3 linked regions of the Rattus norvegicus genome follow. The protein of the gene in region 3 purifies or fractionates together with the protein of the main gene of each other region. This does not show direct contact. Links are inferred from orthologs where the notes say so. Each region holds a gene or a part of one and is shown on either strand. Other genes may lie near its edges.

What was found.
Region 1: the proteins of Cct6a (region 3) and Pdcl3 purify together in Homo sapiens (affinity purification with mass spectrometry; 3 studies listed by BioGRID and IntAct, with this or other methods). This does not show direct contact. The link is inferred for Rattus norvegicus from reciprocal best matches to the Homo sapiens genes CCT6A and PDCL3.
Region 2: the proteins of Cct6a (region 3) and Tle2 purify together in Homo sapiens (affinity purification with mass spectrometry; 3 studies listed by BioGRID and IntAct, with this or other methods). This does not show direct contact. The link is inferred for Rattus norvegicus from reciprocal best matches to the Homo sapiens genes CCT6A and TLE2.

The regions. Positions count from the first base shown.
Region 1 is NC_086027.1:48,736,018-48,739,155, reverse strand, and holds the end of Pdcl3 (phosducin-like protein 3), read right to left. Parts: intron 3,098-3,138; coding exon 2,954-3,097; intron 2,079-2,953; coding exon 1,870-2,078; intron 1,691-1,869; coding exon 1,548-1,690; 3' UTR 602-1,547; downstream 1-601. UniProt on the Homo sapiens protein: Acts as a chaperone for the angiogenic VEGF receptor KDR/VEGFR2, increasing its abundance by inhibiting its ubiquitination and degradation.
Region 2 is NC_086025.1:8,769,208-8,772,538, forward strand, and holds the end of Tle2 (transducin-like enhancer protein 2), read right to left. Parts: coding exon 3,216-3,331; intron 2,452-3,215; coding exon 2,301-2,451; intron 1,842-2,300; coding exon 1,765-1,841; intron 859-1,764; coding exon 751-858; 3' UTR 608-750; downstream 1-607. Other genes in the region: Tle6 (transducin-like enhancer protein 6), read left to right, coding at 1-69.
Region 3 is NC_086030.1:32,509,037-32,512,688, forward strand, and holds part of Cct6a (T-complex protein 1 subunit zeta), read right to left. Parts: intron 3,511-3,652; coding exon 3,414-3,510; intron 3,158-3,413; coding exon 3,010-3,157; intron 2,961-3,009; exon of another isoform or gene 2,830-2,960; intron 2,459-2,829; coding exon 2,325-2,458; intron 1,471-2,324; coding exon 1,368-1,470; intron 411-1,367; coding exon 338-410; intron 251-337; coding exon 178-250; 3' UTR 1-177. UniProt on the Homo sapiens protein: Component of the chaperonin-containing T-complex (TRiC), a molecular chaperone complex that assists the folding of actin, tubulin and other proteins upon ATP hydrolysis.

The sequences.
Region 1 (3,138 bases), on a different chromosome or scaffold from region 3:
GACTGTTACCCACAGCTCCCCAACACTGCACTCTGCCCGCATCCAGGTCCTGTCCTGAGAACTGAGCCTGCAGCTCCCCAACAATGTGTACACTGCCTGCATCCTGGTTCTACCACTCTCTTAGTGTAAAAATTCCACTTAATTCACTGGTCCTCAACCTTCCAAACACTATGACCCTTTAATACAGTTCTTTATCCTTGGGTGACCCCAACCATAAAATTTTCTATGTTGCTACTTCATAACTAATTTTGCTACCGTTATGAATTGTAAGGTAACTATCTGAGGTGTGGCTCCCAAAAGGGTCACGGCCCACACGTAGAGAACTACTGCTCTACGGCGAACACAGCATCAAACTGCAGCTGTGAGCCACGGCAGAGATTATAAGGCCGCAGCGCTCCTACAAGCCACATGGGATCTTCACCAGCAACAGAACCCAAGACTTTTCCAACCCTGCTGTTAAAACTTCACAGCATGTCCGAAGGAAGCCACTCCAAACGGCTTTTGTTCAGCGGTGTAGTGGGCCCTCCAGTAATAGAAAACAAGGCATTCTCACACTCTGTCAGTCTTGGGATTACAACAAGAAATAAGTTTTACAACATAATCTGAACAAATCCTGTATTCTTAGACTCTTATCTCTAAGGTTCCAATCAGCTATACATGTTACCACATTCAACAAAAATATTATTGATACTTTTCAGCTTTCATCATCAATTTATAGGATTCTGACTCAAAGAGTATCCCGAAACATTTTTATAAATCAGCTGGGACACAGCTTACATGTGTGTGTGCTTAAACCTCAGTCCCCCAAGCCGAACCTAACAGGACCTTAGAGCCAAGAACAGCTCTGTTTTTGGCTTCAAGACAGGGTCTTGGTGAGGTGGCCCTGGCCCTGCAAGCCAGACCAGCCTTGAACTCACATGACCTGCCTGCCTGTGTCCCAGTGCTGGGATTAAAAGCATGTGCCACCACAAAGAACAGCTGGTGTCTTAACAGCCAGAGACACACGTGAGTTAACTGGAAGACTGACCTGAATACAAACATGGTGTAAGCTGAAATCTGTCAGCTAGTTTGATAAGACAGTATTTGTCTCAAAATTATCAGCCATTTCTATCAGCTGATATTTCTTTTGCTAGCTTTATAAAATGAAAATGGACAGTCTGACTTAACTATAAAGCCGAGTTCTTGTTTTCTGCACTGTTATGTTTTAGTTTTTAACTTAATTTATTTGCATTGTGTTTTTAAACTCCACATTCCTTTCTCTATAGTTGCATGTCAAAAGATACTAAACAGTCACAGGGTTTGCTGAAACACATGTAGGAAAACATGGATATGTGACATAAGAGCTTAAATTCTTAAAGAAACATTATAAAGAGTTCCAACAAATTTCTTAAAAAATTTCAGCAATGATTATATCTGAAATGTATAAAATTTAAATAATTATAAAAAGGTTAAAACCCAAAAGGATAAATTATTGCTTTTCCCTCCTTATTGAAACTCCAGACAATGCGTCTTATCAAGAGAGTTCGAAAGGCTGCATCACTGCTATCTTAGTCGTCCTCGGAATCACTGTCCCTCCTCATGGGGACAGGGTCCCGCACTGAGGACAGCAGCACGTCTTTGATGGCTTTCTTGGGGTTCTCCTCCAGCTCTGTCTTGATTGCTCCTGACTCAGATAGTTTCCACTCCAACTCTGGAGACAAAGAAAAGCAAATTGCGTAAGACGCCAGGACCCCTCAGAGGGGTCCTGCCCAAAGCTCACTGCTCCAGGTGACTCTGCAGGGATGAGGCAAAGGCGTGACGTGTGTCATGGACACTGACATCCCCGAGAGAGTTTCCCGCCCACCTCTCACAATATCCTCAAGCCCTCACCATCTATGGTCAGGTTCATGCCACCGAACACCAGGGGACCGATGAACTGTGCCTTGATATCCCCCTCCCGGTAGACGAACACTGTGGGGAGGTTCCTGTCAGGGTAATTGGGTATGCAGGTCGTTGAAATGGCTTTGATAAATTTCACATCGGGAAACTTCCTGGCGAGCCCACTCAAGTGATGGTTTATCAAGGAACAGAGGGGAATCCTGGAACACAGAAGAGAAACAGAGTGGCTGTGATGCGAGCAGACAGGGCAGAGCCTGGTGGCCTTCTCTTGACATGACAACCTCACAGGAACTTCACAGATGTTCGCTATGGCAGAATGAATTCACATTTCTTTAAAAAAAAAAATAAAATAAAGGCCATTCTAGTGTGGTCAGGGAAGGGGAATACCTCCAAACCCAAACTTAACAGTATGTGTGAGGAAAAAGCTTTGATAGTTTATGAAAACCGCTATAGCTTTCTGGACACTGAAGAGAACACAGGATGCCTGTGAAGCAAGCCAGAAAGCATTTCCTGCCTTAAGTGATTTCTGAGCAAGCATCCCGTGAGGGTGAAGAACAGCGGTGTCTGCTGGGAAATCATGGAGGCCCCAGGTCACTCAGCAGCCATGTGGTCCCCCTGCAAGTCCTCAGGTGCACAGAGTAATTCTGAACCGGTTCCTCTGCAGGAACACCTCACTCGCCGTGCTTCGTGTGTCTGGATCTTGCCATGTAACCAGGCTGCCCTCAAACTCGCTATGCCGTCCAGGCTTGTCTTGACCTCTGTCATAGTTCTCGGGCCTCAGCCTCTCATGCTGGGCCTGCCGGTGTGAGCTACTACACTTGGCAGAATTCTTTTAAGTCAAAGAAACCTAAGTCTGTGTTCTATACTTTTAGCGGAAACACATTACTCGCAAACATTAAAGTCTTACGATGGAAACCGAGCTCTATGGTTTGGACCAACAGCTATAAAAACACAGAACACAAGTGCAGATAAAAACAAAACAAAACACAAACCAAATCCCTTTGTAGAGGTTAAGGCTCACACAGACTGGGGACAAAGTCACAGACCACCCACGTGGAGGCCAGCCTCTGCTCACCCTTGTTTGTACAGGTGTAAGACCACCCACAAGCCCTCGCCAGCCTTGGTGACTTCTTGAACGTAATCCTTCCCCGAGATCTCTAAAACTTCTCCAAACTTGTTCCTCAGCTGAGTCGCCTTCCACTCGGCCAGCCTTTGCTGCCTGCACAGAGGAAGAAAGCACTGAAATACAGAAGCCACACC
Region 2 (3,331 bases), on a different chromosome or scaffold from region 3:
ACTGAGAACAGCAGGCTGATCGTCACAGGATCTGGGGACTGTGCCTCCATATATCACATCAAGTACTGACAGCTTCAACTCCCCTCCCCTAACTGCACAGTGGTGGATGGCCAGGGTGTGAAGGGTCTGCGATGCTTCCAGAGACTTCCATGAGGTGTGCAGACCCTGAGTCATAGGTAATAAAGCATTTTAAAAGGCGGAGATTGTCCTTTTCCCAGGCTTTGGAAGGACTTTGTAGCTCCGAGCCCTCCAACCTCTTAGTATTTGCCTTTAGTCCCAGCACTCGGGAGGCAGAGGCAGGCGGATTTCTGAGTTCCAGGATGGCCAGGGCTACACCAGCTACGGACCTCACCCTGTTTGGTTTTGGTTTAGAGAGCTAGGAAGATGGCTCAGTTGGTAAAGCCCTTGCCAGGCAGGCAACGAGGATGTGCTAGCTCTGTAGGTAGAGACAGGAGGGTCCCTGGGGCTCGTTGACCTGTCTGCCAGGGCATATCAACAGTAAGGTCCCAACTCTGAAAATCAAGGTAAAGAGAAAGGAAGGCTGACACCCAGCTGGGCCTCTGTCTGTCCTCTGTGTGCTTCACACACACACTCACACACACGGAAAGCAAGTTGATAAATAATCTTATATTTCCCCAGTGCCCCCAGTCCCACCCATCCGGGAGGGAGCAAGCCAAGTGTGGGCAAAGGGACCCATGTCCCGAGTGGCCTGCCATCCAGGGCAGGTGGCTTGAAAAGGCAGCACATGGTTCAGTACACCACCTCATACACAGTGGCCTTCTTGTCCCCTGAGCCTGTCACAATGTACTTGTTGTTCCTGGAGATGTCGCAGCTCAACACGGAAGAAGACTCTTTGGACTGGGACAAAGGAGAGGTGAGGGGCGGACACATGGTGACCACCAGAAAGTGCACAGACCATAAACATGGGGCTTGGAGGACAACAAGGTGTGGCTGTGGCCAGGGCCTTCTAGCTGGGGACTGAGCTAGCCTGACTGATCTAAGAGAGATGGTACCTAACTCCTTGAGCTGACTTCAGATGGCTTCACAGCAAAGCACCTCCACTTCCTCCTCTCCTCTCCCCCCAGCCCTCACCAACCATGCTCCTGCCCCACCCACCCTTCCAAGCGCTGAGATCGAAGATCTGTGTCACCATGTCCCAGAGGGGCAGTGGTATCCCTCATGTGTGAAGGGTTGATATAAAGGCCCCAACTCAGTAATGATCCAGCTCCAGGTTGGAGAGTCTGAGATCTTTGGTTGTTGGGAAGGACTGGCAGGTCCACAGAAGGTTCAAGAGACTTATTAGAAGTAGCCACTTAGGGCTGGAGAGATGACTCAGCGGTTAAGAGCACTGACTGCTCTCGCCAAGGTCCTGAGTTCAATTCCCAGCAACCACATGGTGGCTCACAACCATCTGTAATGGGATCTGATGCCCTCTTCTGGTGTGTACTCACATACATAAATCTTAAAATAAAAAAGAAATTGCCACTTAAGCTGAGAAGAGCACAGCCCAGCACACGAGGCCCTTTTACAGAAAGATTTCACTTCATCTACACCAAAATGAAAACAGTGCAGTGGGAGACAAAGTTGCCCTCACCCCAGCACACAGAGCCATGAACAGAGCATGGCTGTGGCACTTGCTATAACACGGAGGGCTCCTGGCAAGGCAACATCGTGCTCAACAAGGAGCTCAGTGCGGGACTCCTTACAGGACATGTCTAGGACAGGAAAATGCAGACATGGCCTCCACTTCGGGGAGGTGAATACCTGGAAAATGCTGGCCCCATAGGGTGTCCTCCAGGCATTGAGCAGGTTATCCTTGCCTGTGCTCACAAACCAGCGTCCTGGGGAGGGGAGGGGGCAGGGAGTGACCCCCAAGGTAGGGGTCAGCTCTTCAGTGTCCAAAAGCTTAGAAATTCACTCCAGCCCGAAGCCCACCACTCTGCTCTATCAATCAACATGGAACCGCCAGTCAACATGGAGTCTCTTCCACAGTTTCTCGATGTAGACCTGGGTGTCCCGGAGCTCTATAGACCAGGCTAAACTTGACCTCAGAGATGCAACTGCCTCTACCTCCCAAGGGCCGGAATTAAAGGCATGCAAGTCACCTCACCTGCTCCATCCCTTTGTGTGTGTGTGAGACATCGGTGGTGGGTGTGTCTGGGCATTTATCTAAACTGGCTTGGACCTCAGTGAGCAGCTGGGTGAACAGGCCTGGCTGATTCGTTGTCTAAGTCGAGCCTTTGGGTGTGCCACCCTCCCTCCATCCCGATACTGTCCCCAGGGCTCTCCCAGGCCTGTACCGCAGGAAGCGAACTTGAGCGACAGCACGCAGCTCTCGTGCAGGCGGAGCTGGTACTTCTCAGGCTTGCGCACATGCAGGACCTCCACGTGGCTGCTTTCCATCCCCACGGCCAGCCAGTCCTGACTGGGACAGTGGCCCAACGAGAAGATCTAGGGCAAGAGAGACAGTGCTGAGACTCTGGACCATTCATGATGCCGGAGACCCAGGGGTGCCCCTTATGGGGACAAGGTGGCCAGGGACAGGTGCACACGTGAGCACTCATGAGAGGATCCCAGGACCTCGGGATTCTGGGCAGAGAGAGCTAGCTGTACAGATGGCGAAGGTCCAGGGCTGACTAGGCTTGGTGGCCTGCTTCTCACTCATGGAGAGTCAGGGGGACTAGGGGTACGAGCTGCAGAGTCTCTCTTAGTCTGAGGTTTTTGTTTTTGTGTTTTTTTTACTTTTTATTTATTTGGGGGGGGGGTGTTTGAGACTGTCAATATGCAGCTCTGACCACCCTGAGGTCCTGAGTTCAATTCCCAGCAACCACATGGTGGCTCACAACCATCTGTAATAGGAACTGATGCCCTCTTTTGGTGTGTCTGAAGACAGCGACAGTGTACTCATAAAGTAAGTAAATCTTTTTTTAAAAGATGTGTTCCATTTCCAGCTTCTCAGCTTGTTTGAGGCAGAGCCTCTCACTGAACCTGGAGCTCACTTATTTGAATAATCTGGCCCTCAAGCTCTCTGCATGCCCAGGGTTATAGGCAATTTTTATGTCTAACTACGTCTGGCTTTTTATGTAGTCTAGGGATTTGAACTCACACCATCAAGGCAACACTTTACCCACCAAGCCGTCTCCACAGATGCTGTGTCCCACCCGGTTTCAGGTCAGGTAGGAACACCCCGGGGAGGCCGAGGATTGTGGGTGCACCTGGGAACTGAAGTCATGTTGCTGCAGCTGGCGGCCCTCGCGCAGATCCCAGCAGCGCACGGTGTTGTCCAGGCCCCCAGTCCACAGCCGGGTCCCGTAGTCTGATATGTCAATGC
Region 3 (3,652 bases):
AAGTGTATTCACTCAATGCAAAAAAAAATTAAATAAAATTTACAGTATTATAATTTGAATAGGTGCCAAATGTCCTGTTCCTTTTCTCCAATCAGGAAGAGAAAATTCTTTTCCAAATCACTTGAAGCTTGGACAACCCCCCCCCCCCCCAACATTCTGTAGCATCCCAGGCAGACTTCAGCCCTTCAGAGAGGACATCCCAGCTCTCATGATCTCGTCAACCAGGAGAATGTTGGTGGCGATCACAGTACTGTAAGGGAAGAGAAAAGGACAGCTCAGATTTCAACCCAAACTGCTCTGTGTCTGACCAAGAGTCATCTTGGGAGTTCAAACTCACCAGGAGTGAAGCAGCTGCTTCTTCACACAGTAGTTATCCCACACACCCATTTCTGCGGCCACCATTGGCTCACCTGCAAATAGCCAGAGCACCAAAAGCTTTTTATCAAGAAAACACATTCTATTTTATGAACCCTACCAATTCTAAAACAAAACCAATGGCCAATTGAGACCATTTTTTTAAAAGATGTTTTTCTGTACTACAGCCCTAGACAGCATCCAGGCTGCAGTCCTGCTGCCTCACTTCTGGGATCACAGGCTGTACCTTGTCAGCCTCAGGGTCTTTATGGCTTATCCCTGACCAGTCATCCAAGAGTCTTCCAATCACTGCTCTTATCCAGAACATGTCTGACGTGTGGCTGATCTCTTTAGCAATGCTCAACTGCTTACCAGACATTTGCACACTGCTTGGCACACACTGCTGTTGACCCACATGTGTCTTTGACTTCCCTCTCTCTCTTTTTTTTTTTACTTTCCTACAATGGTATGCTGTGAACGTTACTCCCACGATATTTTTTTTCTTTTATAAGATTTCTTTTTATATTATTATTATATAATTTATGTTTATTTTAATGTGCATTAGTGTTTTTGCCTGCATGTATGTCTGTGTGAAGGTGTCAGATCTTCTGGAGCTGATGTTACAGACAGTTGTGAGCGTTGTGAGGGTGCTGAGAATTGAACCCAGGTCCTCTGTAAAAGCAACCAGTGCCCTCAACCTTTGAGCAATTTCTACAGCCTATCATTATTATTATTAATCTTCTTCCTCCCCCTCCTCCTCTTCCTCTTTCTTCTTCTTCTTTTTTTTTTTTGGTTCTTTTTTTTCGGAGCTGGTGACCGAACCCAGGGCCTTGCGCTTCCTAGGTAAGCGCTCAACCACTGAGCTAAATCCCCATAATCTCCTATAAGTTGCCGACACAGGCTTTCTGCTTTGTACACAGCACTGGCACCAAGATCCTCCTGTCATCCACCTTCCCAGTCCCAGCTTCACCCCATCTAGTTTTACCCCCACAAATAAGGTGCAGCACTCTCACCTGTGTTTAGATCCACACCCACAAGCTGACCGGATTCTGAATGTTCAGCTTGAACTTTAACTAATGTTTCCTGAAGGTCAAAACCAGAGTTCTGCGCAAGAACCTAGAGAACAAATTAATTCTTGAAAAGACATGCTGAGAAATGAGGGTTAAGCCAGAATAAATGAGCAGTATTCCCAATTTTATAAAATGTCTTCTGACCATACAAGAGCTGCAGCATACCCTTCCTGCCCCTGCCAAACAAACAGGGGTGGGGTTGCATGCTTTGACCGAAGACAGAACCGTTATCCATGTTCCCTGATGAAGAACAGGCAGAGGTGTAGTTGACCAACTGACACATCCCAAACCTAGCCAATCAAAGCACTGGTCATAACCCTAACCTTTACTGAGTACCCAATGGAGACCAATAACAACTGATCTAGGCAGTGGTTTACTGGGCTGGTGCCACGCAGCTGTGTTAATCTGCCCATTAAAGACTCCCCTTCCTACCACGTGGTCCTTAATTTGTGTCTGATCTCTAAGCTGGTTTCCCCTTTTTTTTCTCTCCTGTCCAGCTACAGAGATTTCCTACTTGCCTGTCCCAGGATGTGGTAGGGTGGATATTCTTTTAAATTCTACCCACTCAGGGCTGAAGCAGTATCCAGACAAATACCTTTGGCTGGCATGAGCTTCACTATGTACCAGGCTGGCTGAAATCTGCCTGCCTCTACCTCACATATACTAGGATAAAAGGCGTGTGCCACCACAACTGGCTAGTTTTCTACTGTAGGAACAAACTAACATTTACAACTGACCATAGCTAAAAGCTGAGCGCAAAACTAAGTTTTTTTTTTTTTTTTGGTTCTTTTTTTCGGAGCTGGGGACCGAACCCAGGGCCTTGTGCTTCCTAGGCAAGTGCTCTACCACTGAGCTAAATCCCCAACCCCGCAAAACCAAGTTTTAAGTAAGTATTCAAACCTTGGGAATGATGAGCAAGGCATCTGCAAATGCCTGGACCCCAAGCTGAGCTCTGCCCTTCACACTGGGCTTGTATTTAATCAGAGCCTCTGCCAGTGCCACTTCAACTGCACCTGCACCCGGGACAACACAGCCTGTTGGGCATGGGAAGAGAAAATGCTATGTTACAGAGAAAGATACAAAACCTACCAAATAAAAAATAAAACAAAAGGGACAACAGTTTAGAACTCATTTTAAGGTAATATATTATTAGGTAATTAACTTAGAAATTCACTATGCTTGTGAACACATACACAGACACACACACTCACGTGCATGCAGTTTTTACAGTAACAGAGATGGAGGTACAGGTCTCAGTTGTGTTAGGCAAGTGCTGTATCAATAGGCAATACCCCTTGCACAGACTTACTTATACCACAGTATAAGCAATCAATAGCCAGCAAAAAGGTCGAATCTTACCATAAGCAGTAATCAGTAGCTCAGGAGCCACCAGCCTTAGCCACTTACTTGTACTCACTTTTGATAATGATATACCATACAAAATAGCATATCAGCCATCTAAAACGGAAGCCTTTACTTTTGCATGGTGTCTGGCTGTGTAAATTACTGACTAAAGAACACAGTATTCAGCCATGCCTGTTAGACCAGCAACAAGAACACAGTTCAAATACCGAGAGGTTCTTACCATCATCAATAGCATTTTTGACAGCCCTCAAGCCATCTCTGATTGCATCCTTGATCTGAGTCAGCGTGTGCTTGTTTGGTCCTTTAACCAGTAAAGTGACAGAACGGGGATTGTTACATTTCTCAATAAAGGTGAACTTCTCCTCACCCTGTGTAGAAGAGAAATTATTGTCAGTAACAGGTTACCCACAGTCATGACGGTCTCTAACTCTATGACAGAGGCAAAGGTCTCTGAGTTCCAAAGCTATACAGTAAAACCTTATCTTAAACCGAACAAACACAAAAACCAACTTATTTCAAACCAACCAACCAAACCCCATAAAATTGTTAACCATCTAATTTTGAGTTTAAAGTTTCCTACTCGACCACTGATAAACAAAAAAGTCTTAGAAAGAAAACACTTACCAATGTATACTCATAGACAAGCCCTGCATGTCCCAAACAGTCAGGATTCAGGTCATCAAAGGAGTTCAGAGCTATCCCACCACAAGCAAGAGTCAGCCTGCAACAGTGAAACACATTGGGGAGATTACAGTAAGCCACGGTGATCAGGTGCAAGCAAGGAGATTCTCAGAATGGCATGAGAGTGTATCTTAAAGCAGCCCCCTTCGCATTCATCATAACCCAGTGGGTAGATGGCCCAT